4 linked regions of the Schizosaccharomyces pombe genome follow. Changing the gene in region 3 together with the main gene of any one other region gives a genetic interaction. Each region holds a gene or a part of one and is shown on either strand. Other genes may lie near its edges. The genes, in order: ani1, clr3, cid12 and raf2.

Region 1 (4,111 bases), on a different chromosome or scaffold from region 3:
TAAGTCAAACGAATTAGTAGCAGAAGTAAAAGTTGAAGATTTTGTAAATGAAGTGACTTCCCCAGCTCCAAGGTACTTTGGTGGACTGAAAGGGGCTCCATCAGCCCTTTTCAAAATCCGAAGCTGAATTTGATGCAAAAGCACTTGGCATTTACCCATTCTGGAAAGCAACTCATGAAGCAACCGTTTTAAGAAATCTATCCCATCCTCTTGAAAAACGAAACGAACACCCCAATTAACATCTACGGATATGGACCTCCGTGGGGTTTCATTATTGATTATATCGGTATCAATTCCTCTGGAAATATTGTATAAATGCAGACCGTAATTTACCCCAAAAGTCTCTTGAAGATTGAATTTTTCAATTCTTTGCAGCTGCCCAATAGTACGCACACCGTACAAATTAAAAAGTTTCTGCGCTTGTGAAGAGCCCACCCCTGGTAAATCTTGAACAGACAAAGGACTCAATACATCAAAAACATTTTCTATTGACAAAGAATAAACGTTGTGAGGCTTCGCCTTCCTAAGTGCAAGTCTTGCTAAGAGAACATTTGGGCCAATACCAACGCTAACTTCGCAATTGGTTTTCTCGCGAACCTGCGAGCGGATAGACTCGGCAATCTCAAAGCAATCTTGAAAAGATGAAACACTAGAAGTTATATCTAGAAGAGCCTCGTCTATACTTATAACCTTAATATAGTCGTGAAGTGTATTAACAAGGATAGTGTAAAATTCTCTAGAAACAGATTCGTATGCTCCAAAATCATAATCAACAACCCGTAATGAAGGACACAGGTTTTTAGCTGTTCCAACGTACATACCATTTTTTATGCCAAACTTCCGAGCCTCATAATTACAACTAGCTATTTCGGAATTTTTTATACCATGAGCAACAGCAACGGGCTTCAGTCGTAGCTCATGAGAAAAGCGTGTTGAAACGGAAGCAAAAAAGCAATCAAAATCAACATGAAGAAGGAAACGAGATTTTTTTGATTTATCTTTCATAATTGGACGAACAGGTTCAGAAGCAGTAGTCATTGCTTGGATTTCATTTTTAAAATCAGCTTTCCAAGTACTTAAGTGATGTAAACGAGAGGAGCTAAAGAAATTCTCAAGAAAATCTTGATTTTGAGTGGTTGAATTTCGGACATTGGGATTTTTTAACAATTGATAGTTGTGCAGTGAAGACGCTGATAATCCACTCAAATCATCTAAAAATCCCTTTGCTTTACTCTCTTTTGTTTTATCTTTTTCATTATCATGTTCTTCTTCCTGCGAGCTTGTTTGAATATCTTCTAAGTTACCTTCGGGTTGGCTAGGTTTAGAGGCGACAAAAGAAAGGGTAGCTTGAGCCGATGAAGCTTGAAAGGTACGATAATTTATCCACGGAAGAATTTTCTTCTGTTTGATGCAATCCACTATCCATTCTGGTTTAACCACTTTCTGATGCTTCCATTGGCGAGCTTTGGAAGGAGTGAGAAATGAACACACCAAATATGATATGCTTGTTTTTCCATCAACATATTGTATAAAAGTACCTCCATTTGAAACTATCATTTGCCGTAATTCGGTATAAGACGGCTTTGTATATCCATTAATCGCTATTGCAAGTCCATGAAAGAGATCAGATTTAGAATCTTCATCAATACTTTTGTATAGAGCGGCATTTTGATTTTGAAGCTTTCTTTGTTTCCGGGAAAAATAATCTGCATAGTCGTGGAACCCAACACTTTCGTATGCCTCATCGTTTGCTTCGTCAAAGTCTGCAATCCCTACTGGGCGTCGACGCTTCCTTTGATTAAAAGCCATCCAGCGCGCTTCTCACTTTCAGTAAATATAAGTATTAATATGTTTCTGAAAGGAAAATAATACAAATAATAATGTAGCCACTTAAGCGGAAAAAGTGTAATTAATAAACAAACAATGTTTATAAAGAAAAACTAACTGCAAGAGCTTTTTTCTTTCATTATTTAACCTTATCCCAAAACTCGTGAAGCCAAACTATTTCAAAGTAAAAAACAACGAAATATCAAAAATAATTACTACGCGTTTGTTGTGATGCACGCTCGTCCAAATTTAATTAATTTTGAGTATAATTTGCAAATCGCGGTAATACGCACTACCCTTACTTAATGGAATACACAACGGTTTATGTATCAAAATTTTTTACATCCTCTACCACCTCACCTCTTAGGCAAGAATAAGTCATGTCTCTTCCAATTGCTGTTTATAGTCTTTCGGTAAAGGGAAAAGATGTTCCCGCTGTGGAGGAATCTACAGATGCATCTATTCATTTGACTATGGCATCCATTGATGCCGGCGAAAAGTCTAATAAACCAACTACTTTATTGGTGAAGGTTCGTCCCCGTATCCCCGTTGAAGATGAAGATGACGAAGAACTTGACGAACAAATGCAAGAGCTTCTGGAAGAAAGCCAGCGTGAATTTGTTTTATGTACTTTGAAGCCTGGTTCCTTATACCAACAGCCTTTAAATTTGACCATTACTCCTGGCGACGAAGTCTTCTTCAGTGCATCTGGCGATGCAACCATCCACTTGTCTGGTAACTTTTTGGTTGACGAAGAAGATGAGGAAGAGGAAGAATCTGACGAGGATTACGATTTGTCTCCTACTGAGGAGGATCTTGTCGAGACTGTCAGCGGTGATGAGGAAAGTGAAGAGGAATCTGAGTCGGAAGATAATTCAGCATCTGAGGAGGATGAATTGGATTCAGCTCCTGCTAAAAAGGCACAGGTTAAAAAAAAACGTACTAAGGATGAATCCGAGCAAGAAGAGGCTGCTTCTCCTAAGAAAAACAATACCAAGAAGCAAAAGGTTGAGGGTACCCCTGTTAAGGAAAAGAAGGTTGCATTTGCCGAAAAACTTGAACAAGGACCTACTGGTCCCGCTGCTAAGAAAGAAAAGCAACAAGCTTCTTCTAATGCACCTTCTAGTCCCAAGACTCGTACTTTAAAAGGAGGCGTGGTTGTAACTGATGTTAAAACTGGGAGCGGTGCGTCTGCTACCAATGGGAAAAAAGTTGAAATGAGATATATTGGGAAGCTCGAAAATGGAAAGGTTTTTGACAAAAACACTAAAGGTAAACCCTTTGCTTTTATCCTTGGTCGTGGTGAGGTTATTCGCGGGTGGGACGTCGGCGTTGCTGGAATGCAAGAAGGCGGTGAGCGTAAGATTACAATTCCTGCTCCCATGGCTTACGGCAACCAGAGCATTCCAGGAATTCCCAAGAATTCTACCTTAGTTTTTGAAGTCAAGCTTGTTCGCGTTCACTAAATTTTCATGTTGAAGATGAACATACTTTAACTCCCGTGTTTAAGAAGATCGCGGATTAAACTATGTATTCTATTAACTCTTTTTATCGCCTATCTTTTTCTTAGGTTTCAAAAAAAATCAGGGTATCATTTTGTATTTGAGTTAGGAAATTTTTTTTTAGTTAAGTGTTACAAACACTTTGGATATAGGACTTTTGGATGATTTGGATTGTTGGGTGATAAAGGAGATATAATCAATATACAATTTTTTAGAAAGAGCTGTTTGTATGTGTATGAGCATTAAGAGAAAAGAGAATAGCGCTTCCTTGATCGATACTAGTTAAGGATGTTTAAATTATGGAATTTTGAGTTTGAGTAAATATAAACGAGAACATTCCGAAAAACTCTATTAAAAGTAAAAAAAAACATATTGATAATAAAAGAGCCATTATCTGATTATCGCTAAATAAGTCTACAAACAGCTGTTTGTTTACGAAATTCTTAAAATTAATTATCGTAATAATCAACTTAAAAAAAAACAAGCAGTTTTAGAATTTAAAGAATTATTTTTATTATTTGTCTTTTTTCTATATTGTTTATTTGAAAATTGTGCTTCTGTTTACAGGCAAATCTTAAGGCGGGCATATATTTTTCTGAAACGTAAACAATCAACATGCCCAAATCAAGCAACTTGAAAATGCAGAGAAAAGGCTCTTTAAGAGAAAACGGTCTCGTGAAGGGTTTAAATAAAAATAGTAAGATATAAATTGGTGTGATAAATAAGTTAATGACATAGAATTTTCGATCAGCAAGTTAAAAGAACTATCTCATGCAGATGAC
Region 2 (4,750 bases), on a different chromosome or scaffold from region 3:
AAAGGAATTTATCGAAAGGAGAATTCGAATAGGCTAATAACTCGTCATTTTTATATACCTGCATACAGACGAACTCAACAAATATTAATTCATGGCAGGCGGCCACAAGAAAAATGAAGCTACAAGGCAGACTGATGAAGTTATTCAACAAAAATACGATGAATCATTAAGCAAGGTATGTCAATTACGCAAACACAATTAGGTAACATCTCGACGATACAAATAGAATCGTCGATGAATAATTTTGGTTTAGCATAAAAATCGTTGCGAATTGTCATTAACTTTTGAATACAAGTTATCAAACAAACTTAGGGCTCGTTTGAAGGCAGCGTTTTTTAAGGTCGATCATGGATGGGAAGATCAGACATTAGATCAAGTGGAAACGCTTGTTCGTAAGGAAAATCACGTTCATCGTAGATCACGCTCGATCAATGACTTGGACTCTTCTAAGCTAAGAAGGCCGCATCACCCCAACTCAATTATGGGATCGAATACAGGCAAGCTGCGTGCAAGTTCATTTACGCGATTGGTGAGCCCAAGAGAGGGCTTCGCTCAGCTTCCTTATAAGAAGCCTGTATCTCCTTACTCATCTTCTAGTGCTGTTTCTTCTACGTCCTCGTCTTTTGATAGAACTAGTCCTCCTTGGTTGAACTACGTTGAGCCTCATACTGAGCTACCCAGACTGCCATTTGAACTTAGCCATGCCTCCACTGCTTCAGCTAAATCTCCACTGTTCGGAATGAATTACCATATTTCACGCCCTGAAGAAACCGATGAGTCTCTTCGCCTTGGCACTGCAAACCTCAGTAGAATTCGCAAGTCCACGAGTCTTCCTTTTCCAACGGCTTATCCCCTATCGGCAGATGATTGCAAGGCAGCTGAAGTTATGCTTACGTTGGTGAATTCTATGCCTTCGAAAAAACCATAACATCCTTCATTTTAGATGGTATACGAGCATTAAGATATAAAATTACATAATTATTTCATGAGAGTTAATCTATAATTTGGATGAATAGATTGATTGTTCACATCCTGCTGAAGAATTTTTGGAAAAATCTCGTTTGAGAAGTTTTGTTATTTCTTGCTATCCGTCTCCAGTCCTATGGTTGATGAGCTATTAACCCTCTATATGTTTAAATGCTTGATATGTACAAGCCAAATTGTGATAATGCTTAATGATGTTTATGACAAAGGGTGAATGTTTCCGGGCGTACAACAGTCTTAAAGATCATAGAAACATTATTTACCATGTATTTATTAACGTTCTTCCTACATCTTGATCCTTATGATTTGAAATGATTATTATATAAGATAATGGAAATTCGCGAACTCGCAAAATTATGCATTCATTTCGAAGTATGGCTCGAGACAAAGCTATTTTTAAGTTTCTAAGAAAATAAAATAAATAAATAAATAAAAATAAGACCCTCCCATGAGCCTCATTACAAACTCTATTTTTTCTCAATCTCCATACGTTCAGGATCAATCTTCTATTTAAAGCCTTACTAAACGTCTTAATTACTTACATTTTTATTCTTTACCAAACAAACTCCTTTGTTAGCATGGTTGAGATTATATTCTCTCATTGCTCCTCTATACTTATGTCTTAGAAGTACCAGCAACAGTTTTGACGACCAAAACTACCTATATCGAGTGAGCCGCGCTTCAAAAAGTGTTTCGACAGTTTTATGAGGGAGTTGTTTAATAGGAGATTTTTTTATTAATTTATTAATTGATTGACCTTTTTAAGGGCGATAGAAAACGAATGCTGGCCTCTAATTCTGATGGTGCATCTACTTCTGTAAAACCATCCGATGATGCTGTAAACACGGTAACTCCATGGTCTATTCTTTTGACAAACAATAAACCAATGTCTGGAAGTGAAAATACATTAAATAACGAATCCCATGAAATGTCGCAAATCTTGAAAAAATCTGGATTATGCTATGATCCTCGAATGAGATTCCATGCCACTCTAAGTGAAGTGGATGACCATCCTGAAGATCCAAGACGCGTCCTTCGTGTTTTTGAAGCTATAAAGAAGGCCGGTTATGTATCTAATGTGCCGAGTCCGTCAGATGTATTTTTACGGATTCCGGCTAGAGAAGCTACTTTAGAAGAGTTATTACAAGTTCATTCACAGGAAATGTATGATAGGGTTACTAATACCGAAAAAATGTCTCATGAGGATTTGGCCAATCTCGAAAAAATCAGTGATTCTCTATACTATAATAACGAAAGTGCGTTTTGTGCTCGATTGGCTTGTGGTAGCGCAATTGAAACATGTACGGCTGTCGTAACTGGTCAAGTAAAAAATGCCTTCGCAGTTGTTCGCCCTCCTGGCCATCATGCAGAACCCCATAAACCTGGTGGCTTTTGTTTATTCAACAATGTTTCTGTAACCGCAAGGAGTATGCTACAACGCTTTCCGGATAAAATAAAAAGAGTATTGATTGTCGACTGGGATATACACCATGGAAATGGTACGCAAATGGCTTTTTATGACGATCCAAATGTTCTATACGTTTCTTTGCATCGATATGAAAATGGTCGTTTCTATCCTGGCACCAATTATGGGTGTGCAGAAAATTGTGGAGAGGGCCCGGGATTGGGTAGAACTGTAAATATTCCTTGGAGTTGTGCTGGCATGGGAGATGGTGATTATATATACGCTTTTCAGCGCGTCGTAATGCCTGTTGCTTATGAATTTGATCCAGATTTAGTTATTGTAAGTTGCGGCTTTGATGCTGCTGCAGGAGATCACATTGGTCAATTCTTGTTAACTCCAGCTGCCTATGCTCATATGACACAAATGTTAATGGGATTAGCAGATGGGAAAGTTTTTATCTCCCTTGAGGGAGGTTATAATTTGGATTCTATAAGCACATCAGCCTTAGCTGTAGCCCAAAGTTTGTTGGGAATTCCTCCTGGACGATTGCATACAACATATGCATGTCCACAGGCCGTTGCTACCATCAACCATGTAACCAAAATACAATCCCAATACTGGAGATGTATGAGGCCGAAACACTTCGACGCAAATCCTAAGGATGCCCATGTAGATCGATTACATGATGTTATTCGAACTTATCAAGCTAAAAAACTTTTCGAAGACTGGAAAATTACCAATATGCCAATACTAAGGGATTCCGTTTCCAATGTATTCAACAATCAAGTACTGTGCTCTAGCAATTTCTTTCAAAAAGATAACCTTCTCGTTATTGTCCATGAATCTCCTAGAGTCCTGGGTAATGGAACTAGTGAAACGAACGTTTTGAATTTAAATGATTCGCTTTTAGTAGATCCCGTGAGCCTTTATGTTGAATGGGCTATGCAACAGGACTGGGGGCTTATCGACATAAATATACCTGAAGTGGTTACGGACGGTGAAAATGCACCGGTTGACATTCTTTCTGAAGTGAAAGAACTTTGTCTTTATGTATGGGATAATTATGTTGAGTTGTCGATTTCAAAAAATATTTTTTTCATCGGTGGAGGCAAAGCGGTACATGGATTGGTTAATTTGGCATCTTCCAGGAATGTGTCAGACAGAGTTAAGTGTATGGTGAATTTCCTTGGCACTGAACCTTTGGTGGGTCTTAAAACGGCATCAGAGGAAGATCTTCCAACGTGGTATTATCGTCATTCACTCGTGTTTGTGAGTTCTAGTAATGAGTGCTGGAAAAAGGCAAAGCGTGCTAAAAGAAGATATGGACGACTTATGCAAAGTGAACATACTGAAACTTCGGACATGATGGAGCAACACTATCGAGCGGTTACTCAATACTTGCTGCATTTGCTTCAAAAGGCCCGACCAACTTCTCAGTAACATTCGTTATTGACTTATGATTTTTTCATGGTTTTCTATTCTTTTAATTGTCACACATTTAACCTCCTTAAGTTATCTACGTTAAAATTTATAACGGACATTCATGATTTGCCAAACCCGCTGAATGATTCGTACTCAATCTGCTAAGCTGCTTTGTCTCTTTTACTTATACTTTAATTCGAGCTCATTATTCTCAAGGTTGGTGGATTTTGACTTTATTTTCCAGTAGAATGTATACACAAATGGTTTATTGTTATTGCTGGCTTCATTTTATTCATGTTCAATATAATTAAATAAATAAGGTTATAATATTGTTTTATAAAATAAAGCTCCTCAAATCCGTGATATTATTTTAGTTCAAACAACTATTGTTGATTTTTGTCGTAATTTTGCTTAAAAGCATTTCTCTAAAGCTGAGGGAAATCCCTCATCCATTTTTTGTACCGCAAAAGGATAATATTATAGTATGTTGTTTAAATTGTAAAATTAGATTCATAGTACAAACAGCATTTAAATTGTTTTCTTATTCTCCAATATTAATAACTATATCACACAAAAAAATTGATTTGGTTGTATGGTGTAATGGTTAGCACGTGAGATTCTGATTCTCGAGACCTGGGTTCGATTCCCAGTACGACCTTCATGAATGATGGATGATTCTGTGATGTTCAACTTTTTTAACTAATCCAAATTGCATGAATGATAACCGGTCAACAGTAATTGTAAATGTAGCAACTTTACTATTAAGGAAGGCTGGCTTTTTTTTTTTTTAATAAAACGACTTGATCCTATATTATATATAGCACTAAACATTTGCGCAATAACTCACAAGTCAAGGTGTTAGCAACTGGTAGAAATCTTGTAATCTCCCTTGCCTAGAAGATTACTCTCTTGTCGTAGCACAACTGCATTTTATTTGAA
Region 3 (6,905 bases):
ATGTAAACGGTCGATTACTCAAACCAATTTAATACTATTCTTTGTCTATTTGCCTAAATATTTTATACATGTCACGTTTTTGATCACCACCATTCTAAACCCATACTATACTTGACTCTACAGAATGCTGTCAAAACGGGGATTAAATCCCGTTCAAGCGGAGAGCAGAAAGAAGAAAAAAAGAGAACAAATTAAAGTGCGAGAAGAAAGAGCAAAACGCCATGAAGAACGACTGTCGCATAGGAATATGAGCCAAATGGAACGCCAATTATCAGAGCTGACACAATTAGAATCTTCGCAAGCTTTAAATGCACATGACAAGCAATTATTACAAAATTTGCAAAGAGATATGGCAATTATGAAGAAGAAAAACATTCATGGACATAGAGTTGGGCGTGTTGAGTCAGACAAGACTAAGGAGGCAGAACGTCAACATAAACCTAGAAAGCCTTTTATCCCTAAAAACCCAAAACGAAGTATATATTATGATCCAATATTTAATCCTTACGGAGTTCCGCCGCCAGGAATGCCTTATCGTGAGAAGGAAGAACTAAGTTCAGAAACAGATGAATCCGTTATTGATATACCTTTACCTTCTGAAGAATATCCTTTTGAGGATCCAAAGCCAAGGGAAAAGAAAAATAAGAGCTTTAAGCCAAAGCACCACAAAAAGCAAGACATAAATGCAAGTTCAGCACAACCAAAATCCACTACTACGACAGAAGCTGCTGCAAATACGAAGGACATTGAAGAGGAAACTATGATTGAGTACTCAGCTCAGCCGGTAGTCAGAGATTTACGACAAGAAGCTGCTCAATTTTTACCTGCTGCGTTTCAACGACAAAAACTAGCCAAGGGGCAGAAAATTGGACAGCCAGACAGGGATGTATCGAGCCAAGTTCAGGAAGACAAGGATGAAGAAATAGATAATTTCTACAAAGAAATTGGCGGATATCTATAAAAAAGTCGTTAAAATTATGGAGATTGGAAGTAAGGATTACCAAATGGGTGTAGACGGAATTTTTAGTTAATAAACATGCATATTAATTTATATATAATATCTGTTTACTAGGTTCAATTTTAAAGGAGCTTGATTGCATCTCTGTACTTGTTTTTTTGTTTTATTCAATTATGAGTGAGCTTTCATAAGTTAATTCAAAGGCTTATTATTATGATGCGGTCAATAATTTCAAATTTTTGATGTCCAAAAAAAACAAAGGAGATTTTGTTTCTGTGTTATTGCATGATATTTATTAATGTTTTCTTGGTTCAATAATTCCTTATTATAGTCACTTTTACACTGCTTGAGCGAAAGGGGATTTCAAAAAAACACCTTATATTCATCTTTCCGTGATTATTTCAAGTTGACTGTTTTTTGTGAATTTGTCTTTTGCTAAATTATGATTGTTACACTTAGTCCTACACTGTTCATTACGAATCAGATTACCAAAAAGAAAGAAGTACATGACTAATTACTTGGATTAATTTTATTTTATTTTCATATGTATTTAGACGCCATGACAGTATTTACATGCGTAAACCAACGAATTCGTTTATCAAATAAAAATATCATAAAGGAAACCTTTAAAAATCGAAATACACATGCTTAAGTTAAAATTTGCACAATGAGAGATGAGGGAGTACTTATCTATCTTTTGCTTGCTTTTCTTGGGTTCATAATCTTTGGTTTTCGCTATAAATGCTGTATGAGACTAGGAAGCTTTTGCAGTCAATCATTCTATTATTTATAAAAACAAATAAGTTATTTATTGATTAAAAACTCGTGATACTTTTTTTTGCTATAAAATGATTTATTTACATATAATTACAAGGCACTCGCACGACCTCGTTATGTGCGAGGAGCCATGAAATTGAATCCATTGATATTAAAATTAGCCAAAATGCCATTTCTTAAGAATGGGTAAAGTCCTGTTAGAGCTGCATTCAGTACCATGGAATGAAGAAGGTTTGAGTGATAATGCTCGACTTTATTCATTTTTGGAGTTCGTAAGCCCGAAAATCGAGGAATTGAAGTACAGAAAGCTTTTGTTAGAGAAACTACAGACTCACATTAGGGAGGTCGTTTTGGATGCTGAACTTCAAGTATACGGTAGCATGTATATTGGAACAACATTATCTATAAGTGATGTAGACGTATCTTTGAAGTCACCTCGAGTTGGAGAATTGGAGAAACGACGCGTCACCATGGTTTTAAGAAAGTACTTGGATGCTGATGCTGATTTCCATTCTAGTGCCAGAGTCCCTCGCATCAATTTAGTAGATGTTAGTGGAATTGGGGTGGATTTGACGTTTGGAAATGACAAAGCTTGCAGAACTGCTGAATTGCAAAAAGCTTATAACGAAGAACACCCAATTTTTGGTAGATTGCTGATGCTATTGAAGCACTGGTTGTTTGAAAGAGATTTGGAAAACGTTCATCATGGCGGGATTGCAAGTTGCGCGCTCTCTTATATGCTAATTGGTTGGCTTGAAATGCGATTTCACAAAAAGGGAATTGATTCGGAAGTGCAACCAATTCGAGCTTTACTACAGAAATTCTTCTATTTTTGGGGAGTCGAATGGACATACGAACTTTTTGTATTGAGACCTTTAACCGGTCAAATAGTTCCTAAGCTACAAAAGGGCTGGTTAAACGAAGTGCAACCAAATTTGCTATCTATTGAAGATCCAATTGACAGAAATAACGACATTGGAAAGCAATCATTTCAAATTAGTATGATTAAAGCTGCATTTGTTGCTTCAGCTAATGAATTATTATCCGATAAGACATGGTTTAGCACCTTTGCAATTACGGAAGATGAAATGTTTTTGTGTAAACAGTTTGAAAATGTTATAAATACTAAACGAAGTTTGGTGGAGGGATATGATAGTGATACGGAATCAGATGAATTACAAGCTGGCGGATAACTGCGGGTTAATGCATTTAAAAAATAATGCTCGCTGTTTAAATAAACATTTGTTTTTCAATTCCTAAGTTGTCTTGCCGCATGTGGTAATGTTTCACTACAGTTCGTATGTACTTTACTCTTGTTTAATTGAATGGATTCATATTCTTATTATTGATAGGATATAAGAATCCTACAATTATCTTAGTCATTTTCAAGTCTTTTAATTTTACTTAGGCAAGGTTCGGCTGTTTCAAATGATATCACATTTTGTACCTATTGAAGGTGCTAACAAAATCTGTTCTTTAAAAATTTCAAAATTAAATCTATTTTATTCTTTTAAAATCTATCCAAGGATCCATGTTAGATTTTCAAGTCAATTTAATAATTGCATTTCACTTAGATTAATAAATGTGTGTGCAATCTATAGCTTTTTCGAAAGAAGGACGCTATCTTCTGTTTTGGAGCTCTCATCAATAATGAATCCCCGATGAATAAACCATTCGGATACATCGAGTTTAGGGCTTAATTTAATGTAAATTTCTTTGGCTTTTCCCTCAGCTGCAGTCTCGCAAGCATATTCCAACAGCTTGGTACCAATAGAACGGTTTCGATAGGCTGGCAAAACTGCCAAAGATAAAATTTGGATTTTGTGCGATTTATTATGTGTTTCTTTTTTGCATCTAACAGCTCCTACGCAGACCTGGTTAAAGTACGCATATTGTGCTAAAGGCCCGACTGAGATTGTGTCTTTGTAAAAGGAGGTTGGAAATATAATGATTTCAGGATCAAAACACTTTTCGTTAATAACTTCAAGGATTTTCAGATTATTAGGGTTAATCGCATCAAGTTCAATCATCTTTTTTATGCAAATGCAAATATCTTTTTCTATATGTACTTGGTGTTGTCAACTTTCAGTCTTTAAGGCATTCTAATGCAATAGTTTGAGTTGGAAACATCCACGATAAAATCTTTAAACAGTACGCTGCATTTCATTAATCCCGTTGTCACATGAATGTGAAGGTATTGTAGATGCTGGTCGCATAGGAGAAGCGTTAACAAGGCTGAAGACATCGTCATTTCCATCTTCCTTTGTGTCTACGTTTCCTTCTTTCTTTGTGGTAGAGGGCTCTTCAAAATTTGATTCTTGTGGGATAATCTCTTCGGTGGATAGCTTTTCACTTGCAGAAACCGCAGGATTCTCAAAGTCAATATGAAGTTGTCTTTGATATTCATCTATTAATCTTCTAAGCCAAGGGACTGTGTAGCTAATGGCTGGCCATGCTGTACCTAGCATAGTAATGAAGTTCCAAAGGCTCCACAGGGCCATAAATGAAAATACCAGCCCTTGTATAATGATAAGAATGATTGCAATGATCACTTTCGGAATGATTGCTAAATCAAATGCTATCGGTATGAGAAGAGCAAAGGAAACCACTCGGGTGAGAGCAACCAAAAAGACGCAAAAGGAATTTTTGAAACCAACAAAAGGCCGAAACACTGCTAGCAATATAAAAGAGATGATTTCAATAACAAATAGAAGTATAGTTTGAATCTTCGCAAACTGTTGTACTAACGCTAAAACCAATGCAAAACTAAAATAATGTGCAAAGCAGGCGTAAACATAGAGCCATCGCCGTTCTTTTAAATCCAAATATAACCATCCCCACCATGTGTATATTTTTGGATCGCTTATCAATGTTTCTGGATTGTCCTCGTTACTCAAGCCTGACGTTGTTATCACTCTTATGACTTTGATAGTTAACCAAAGGAAAAGCCCAAAAAGCAGTGCCAGAAGCAAAGCCGCCAATATTACAGGGCCATATGCTTCCCTAAGTGTAAACTGGTAAATTATCATAGTTACCAATACAGGCCAACAAACCAACACCTATATCAACCAGATTAGTATAAGTATAAAGCAAAAAAGTCGTTAAGAGCTATGTATGAACAACTCATTCCTTTGTTCAATTAACTTACCCATCTCATACAAGCATTAAAAAGTACTCTAAACCAATACCTTGTGATATAATCGCATGAAGATTTTGCGATTATACGTGTCTGACGAAGAAACTTAATAATAAGTACGAATATTATAACGATTCCTCCTGCTATGGCCAAAGAAATCAAAAACCATATTAAAGTGAGTGTAAATAAATTCGTTGTTAGCGTTCCAACTTCGGTGGCTAGGCCTTGAAACCCATGGTAAAATCCAGGAATCGGGCTTTGAGGGTTTGTTGCAACAGCATCTCTTCGATGGACTCCACCTATCTTTGGAGAACTTAGGTTTCCATTGGAATGCTTTCTAAAAGACTCAAGGCTGTTTTCTATCTCTTTATTGGTAATAAATCCTAGAATCCATGCAAAATTACTAGCCCATGCGACTAGCACTTTTGGCTGTGTAATTCCAATTGCTCCCGTGAAAGCTATACATTGAAGTAGCTCTCCCATGTGCTGCAAAGAAGGAACGGAATTGATGAAAACCTGACGTGTCAGATAGGTGCTATGCTCCATTCCAATTACATAAAAGCCTAAGACGCCTGCTATACTCAATGCCAAAGCAGTTCCACTTAGAGCTTTTACGACTTTATTTTTAAACGTATGACCATTATTAAGTGTCGCGATCATGCACGCAAGTGGTGTAGAATTATCGATGGATGACGCTGCGATGTCTTCTGAGCGATACATGCGAAAACGCACTAAGCCTTCAAAATCAGGAATTCCCCAGGCAATTTTTGGGATCATCTGAACATCTTGAGGGCTCACTGGAAGTATTCCCTGTGTGGTTATAGCTGTATCTCTTGCAACTGGGCACACAGTATTAAGATTTATTTCACAAGGGTCGAAAGTAAATCTTGCCCTCTGCTCTCCATAAGCTTCAACTATAATATCAAACGTAACATTTGCGTCCACAGATGAATATCCAAGAATATTAAAGACTACTGACAAGTTTCGTGTATAATAACTTGCATCAAACCGATTAAACACTATCGGGGCATTTGACATGCATTCTGCGTACTCGGCTGTTCCAAGTTTGTGATTTGGTCTCTTACTATATCTTACTCGACCTTCCACTGACGATAAGATATTACTTAAAACTGCAAAGTAAGCTAAGAGTATTAGCTTCATTTTCATTTTCCATTAACATCCCCCTTCCAGTTATGTAGAGGGTTTAACTTTGGAACGAATGCAAAAAAAATTAAAATGAACTTTCCTCAGAATTACCAAACTATCACGAATAACAAAAACATGCTACTGAACTCAAATGCCGTAATTTGACTGTAATGTTTACGAAATAGCAGTCGTATTTTTTAACAACCATAGCATTGAGTTAAATACAAGGATTAAATAAATAGTAATGAAACGATTGAAGCTTTAAGATTTTTACGAAAAAGAATACAGAACGTGGCTTCGTTTATTTAGTTACCACCATCTTAGCATTGTTCTTACGCTCACAATTTTACACTATGAAAAAAGCAATATAATGGTAAAGAATGTATCATTAGTAAAGAATAAAAAAAAGAAATGCATTTTCATTTCATTTGTAGTTGTGAGAAGAAATGATGGAATGTGCGAGCCTCACTTGATTTTATGTCATTATGTTTTGGACCTCAATTAGTAATAAAATTATTCTGTTGAAGTCATTTCTGAAGGCGTTTCTTGATTTTTCGCTTGTAATTCGTTGAGTTGCTCCATTAAAAGATTTCGAAAAGGAGTCAGCAGCTTCTCTTTAGTTCTATTTAATTTCATTCCACAATTTGGAAGTTGTGGCTGCGGTACTCCATGAGCTGTAGTGGGTGTAATAATTGCGGACCCAAAGAAGTTATAAAGATGTAAAAGCCATTCACTAGTACTATCTTTATTCTCAATAGCCTTCTTGCTTTCTTCATCAAGTTCCTTCACATAATCACCAATTTCTTCCAAAACTTGATGTTTTGTCTCTTCATCCAAGGTATTTAAAGCTTTATGGGCAACATCTACCGCATCAGGAGTCTTCACCTC
Region 4 (4,652 bases), 1.2 Mb from region 3:
GGTTTGCAAACGGCTCTTTTAGAAAACCGGAAGAAAGCCGTATGTCCACCGACTTGATGTTTGAAGGGTTCCAATCGTACAGTAACCGGATAATCAACATTCCAATGGAAAAAAGGATGGTCTTCAGGAGGAGATGATGAGACAGATGATACAGATGATCGCGGGGTGGATGCAGGACTTTGATAAGAACGGGATACCGACCTTTCAAGCTCAAACGAAGCATCAGGTAGTAAAGGGAGGTGTTGAGATGACTTTTTAGAAGGATTATGTGGTATGTAGGTGGCTGTGGTTTTAGAACTACCACTATCTTTTCTTCGTTTAGGAGCTGAGCTCCGACCACGAGATGATCTTCGACTTAGTGATGTATCTTTTTCGGAAATAACTTCATCTAAATCATGCTGAGCACCAACACTTGGTGATCCAGATTTGGAGAGCCTTTCAGAAACAGATTCAAGAGGACTCGACACGTTGTGCAAAGCAGTATTAGTACTGTTACCGGTTTCTAAGTTATTGGAGGTAGAAGACTCAAAGAGACGTAATGACCTGCTTGCCTTTCGAGACGGATGAGCAGAATGAGCACTTGCCATATCATCAGCTTCAGAAACGGCTGAAGACTGCAGCACCGGTACTGGTGATTCAGCAACTGAATAAGAGGAACCACCTAATTGCAAGTCAGCTAGACTCTTGTGAATTGAATCACTCATATATTCAACAGGGGTGTGTGTTCTCAAAGGGGTTTGTTCTTGTGAATTACTTCTTGTTAAAATTAAGCGAGGGACATCTTCCAAGCTCGTAGTTCGAGGGTCTACAGCAGATGAATAGTTACTTAGCCTTCTAGGCGATAAACTGTCTAATGACTTAGGACCTATGGATTCAGAATGCATAGTAAAATTATTGTTATCTTCTGATTCATCGTACAAGCATTTTAACGTTTCAGGACCTCGATCATGAAAATTCACGTCTCTGCCTTTACGTGAATTCGGCAGGTAACACTTTGGTGCGTTCTGCATAAATTCATAAGTTTATCTCTATTAAATTAATATTTTTCCTTAATTCCCCTTCAATTCCTCCAATTTGTCCGATTTTTATTAGTTTACCTTTCGCAGAGACCCGCTTTGGTTCTTGGCAAGTTTCTTACTTTGCTCTAGCTTACAGTATAATGAGGCGTATAGTGAAACTACTTAAATTCATTATTGTCAGCAATACTACACTACGCTATGATACACTACGTTGCGTATCACTATATGTCATATGTTGGAATACTAGCTAAGATCCGTTTATTGATAATCACGGGTAACTATCCGTCTATATACGTAGATACCCGTTGATAACAACTATTTAGAAATATTATAAATAGCGTTACAACTGAACTGAGGAACGAGGTTCAGTTATGAGCTATATTAGTGATAGGTAACATTATAACCCAGTTAATACAATACCTATACTCAGTTGCTACTTATACAACCTGCGTATTGTAATATAATAGATCACAAGGAAAACTCACCGCAGTTCTACGTATCCTTAAATCAGATACCAAACTGCGTAGCTTACAATTATTCTACTCTAAAGATCCACATAATAATACACCGTATCTGTCATTAAATTACGCATTGTGTCAGCTATGCAATCATTAAAACACTTAATGATACTTTAGAACTGCGGTGGGTTTTCCTAATATAAAAAATAATGTTAAATAAAATTCTGTTTTCTATACAATAATAAATATATCAAAATATTAAGAGATATCGTATAGTATTATATGTGCACTAAAATAGTTTACAATCAGCTGAGGAGTACAAATCAAACTTCATCAATATTTTTCTAATTAAAGAATAAGTACTTTAGAAGCAACGTATGTTCACGGCCGAAAGAAATGTTGGTAAAACACAATTATAGGTATAGTGATTGTTAACGTATCGTAAGTATAACGCACTAGACGTTAATTATATATTTGTGCAGTACAATGGATACCCTTCTCTTAAATTTCAGAAGCAGAGATCAGAAATTTAACACCAATGTTTACCTCAAAAATATGCCGTCTATAGTAATAGGCAATATTACTTCGAAGAGTATTGTTTTTGGGGAAAAGGAAAAAGCTAGCGATGCCGCCCGTACGTGCTGAAAAAAAGCGGAAAACTGATTTGATTGAACAAGTTTGCGTTACAAATAAAGCAGGGGAATTAGTAGATTTAGAGGACGTTCTAGAATATGGCCCTTATTCATTAACAGGAATTTTATCTTCTGAAAAGGATGAGCAAGAACCATTGTTTGATGAGAGCATTGTTCTGGGATACTCGATAAAAATATCGCCTGTTTGGACATACAATCTAAAAGACGTTCCTGAGAAAGAAACTATGAGCATATGGATCGTTACACCTCAAAGAAGATACGGAATTTTGTCTCCTTCTTCTGAGTATAAAGCCATTTACGAACAGATCAGCGAGAAGAATCGATTGTTTTACCTTATTAAGACAAAATTCAAAGATGATATGATATCTGGTACGTTAGAAGATTACGATAATTATATCGAAGTTTTAAAGGAAAAGCTAGAGCTTCCTTCTTGTTTTCAAGCAATTCTCTTAGTGCAAAAACATATTCGCTTTCTGTTAACCCAAATGGTTGCGACTTCTTCATTACATGTATGGTCTGAATCACCTTTTTTTATAAGAATTCGATCTTCATACGAACATCTGATTTTACAAATTAATAAAAACATTTACAATGCTCGTCAAGAGCGAAAGAAATCAAAGTTATCGTCAAACAATCCATCGGACAATAATACTACTATGAAAAGCTCTTTAAACCAAGCTCTTACTTTAATTAATTTACCCGAGCAACCGTTTAGCATTTCCTCTCCCACAGCAACACCACAACTAGGAGTTGTAAAAAGAACTTCTCCATTACGGTTTCCTTTGAATGATATTTGGCTTTCCGGTTTAAGGATTGTTGATCCAAATATTGAATCGATATCATTATGGAAAAGAATACAAGTTTCAACCTCTCCGAAGCATCAACGTTATATTAGCCTTCAAGAAGTTTGCAGCGTTATTGCTCAACAGCTACAAATAACAAATTTGGAAGCTTTGAATAAACTTTCTTCCCACGGCGAAACCCTTTTGCAAATTATGCATACTGCTTTCACGTGGAGAGGTACTAAGCTTTTTAATGATATTAAGCACGCAATTGGTTTTAGATCTTCTGTTCAACAAGCACGATCTCAATTCCGTGGATATTGTTATGATTATTTATTCATGCATTGTAACAATGGAGAAAAAACAAGTCTACATCTCTTGAGGACTCTAATATGCATGAAACTAGATTTCTCAAATGCTCAATTGGCGGCCAAGATATTATTTCATTTCTTGTTATTTGATATTGGATCAGGCCTTTCTGGCTCAGATTATACATATGAACAATACATTAATCACTCAGCTGTCGCTTTCAGTTTTACGGAGGAAATTTTTGAAAAAAATTTTGTTACAGTTCTTCCTGACTTTGTTAAACTTTTTTCTATTTCTTTTGGTTATTGGCCTGCATTCAGCTTCTATGATGAATTATTGAAATTACTTCGCAACAAATATCCCAAAGTATATTCATCAACTCCAAATTTATGCGATCAGGTATGGCTGGATCGAACAAATTTATTCCCTTGTAATAGGTCAACGAGGTCGACTTTACCGTATAGACCTACAAAACTGCTCGATTTAGCTTCCGCATCTTCCTGCTTATCCAAAAAGGAAACAGATTTTAAACAAGACACTGGATTATATTCATATAACTTGGAGAAAGTTGAGGCTTTAAAAGTTAGTCCGGATTTACAGACTGGTATTTGGTCATGTCCAGTACAAAATTGTTTGTATTTTGCTGTTTGTGACAACCCGTATAAACCTTCTCAGGTCATTTACGATCATCTTTTAGGACATGTAGATTCCAAGTTTATATTTAAAACTCCTTCGAACAGTGTCCGATCGTTTACAAATAAACTTGAACACATAATGTACAACATAAATTAATGATAGATATGATGATTTTTACTAGTAATTAACAAAAGACACACTGCATTAAAGTTAATATATAGTATGTTTATAAAGGATTACAATTTTACATGGCTAATGTCAAATACACTTTACTTTACAAATATCATGTGTTCATAAACAATTTCAAAAACACATTTTGTAACAACAATTTGATACGCTTATAAATGTGCCTATTAAAGTGTACAAATAGCTGAATTATTTGTCAAATGTAATATAGGACGATCAAACAAAATCAAACACCAACCCTTTACAATTGTAAAGTTAATGGCCGTTCAAAATACCAGAACCCATTTTTGATAATAACTGAGACCAAGCGATAAAATAAAAACAGAGGAATGTAAACGCCAAGAACTACTAAATGTTCATGCGTAAGGAAAACGAGCAAAAAACGAGTATTTATTTTAGAAAAGAGCAATACTATTAAAAAATTGTTCCAGAAAATACGGACCATACGCGACGATTACCCATCTTTTTGGTTTTGTAAACGTAAATAGAATCATCTAATCATGAATCAGTAGGAGCAAACATGAGTATGATGAGGCTCACTTCTTTGACATAAAAAAATTAATGTGATAGGATAATATCCTAAATTCGATCCCACTCATAGATAGAAGA

What was found.
Region 1: mutations in cid12 (region 3) and ani1 together harm fitness more than expected from each alone (negative genetic interaction), as found in Schizosaccharomyces pombe (2 studies listed by BioGRID).
Region 2: mutations in cid12 (region 3) and clr3 together harm fitness more than expected from each alone (negative genetic interaction), as found in Schizosaccharomyces pombe (3 studies listed by BioGRID, with this or other methods).
Region 4: mutations in cid12 (region 3) and raf2 together harm fitness less than expected from each alone (positive genetic interaction), as found in Schizosaccharomyces pombe (2 studies listed by BioGRID).

The regions. Positions count from the first base shown.
Region 1 is NC_003423.3:4,062,350-4,066,460, forward strand, and holds ani1 (FKBP-type peptidyl-prolyl cis-trans isomerase), read left to right. Parts: upstream 1-2,170; 5' UTR 2,171-2,207; coding exon 2,208-3,293; 3' UTR 3,294-3,611; downstream 3,612-4,111. Other genes in the region: deoxycytidyl transferase Rev1, read right to left, coding at 1-1,809; sporulation specific PIL domain protein Meu14, read left to right, coding at 3,945-4,026, 4,068-4,111. UniProt on the Schizosaccharomyces pombe protein: PPIase that acts as a histone chaperone. Histone proline isomerase that increases the rate of cis-trans isomerization at prolines on the histone H3 N-terminal tail. Proline isomerization influences H3 methylation thereby regulating gene expression.
Region 2 is NC_003423.3:253,057-257,806, forward strand, and holds clr3 (class 2 histone deacetylase Clr3), read left to right. Parts: upstream 1-1,629; 5' UTR 1,630-1,765; coding exon 1,766-3,829; 3' UTR 3,830-4,082; downstream 4,083-4,750. Other genes in the region: cell cycle transcriptional repressor Whi5, read left to right, coding at 92-175, 254-928. UniProt on the Schizosaccharomyces pombe protein: Responsible for the deacetylation of lysine residues on the N-terminal part of the core histones (H2A, H2B, H3 and H4).
Region 3 is NC_003421.2:1,653,752-1,660,656, forward strand, and holds cid12 (poly(A) polymerase Cid12), read left to right. Parts: upstream 1-1,894; 5' UTR 1,895-1,917; coding exon 1,918-2,928; 3' UTR 2,929-3,330; coding exon of another isoform or gene 3,331-3,765; 3' UTR 3,766-3,879; coding exon of another isoform or gene 3,880-4,794; 3' UTR 4,795-4,883; coding exon of another isoform or gene 4,884-6,032; 3' UTR 6,033-6,329; downstream 6,330-6,905. Other genes in the region: splicing-associated factor Saf1, read left to right, coding at 125-961; NatA N-acetyltransferase subunit Naa50, read right to left, coding at 3,331-3,765; trp663 (TRP-like ion channel protein), read right to left, coding at 3,880-4,794, 4,884-6,032; SPOM_SPCC663.15C (uncharacterized protein), read right to left, coding at 6,531-6,905. UniProt on the Schizosaccharomyces pombe protein: Has a role in the RNA interference (RNAi) pathway which is important for heterochromatin formation and accurate chromosome segregation.
Region 4 is NC_003421.2:498,757-503,408, forward strand, and holds raf2 (CLRC ubiquitin ligase complex subunit Raf2), read left to right. Parts: upstream 1-2,008; 5' UTR 2,009-2,102; coding exon 2,103-4,013; 3' UTR 4,014-4,124; downstream 4,125-4,652. Other genes in the region: kcs1 (inositol polyphosphate kinase), read right to left, coding at 1-1,010. UniProt on the Schizosaccharomyces pombe protein: Component of the Clr4 methyltransferase complex (ClrC) which contributes to the establishment of heterochromatin by specifically methylating histone H3 to form H3K9me.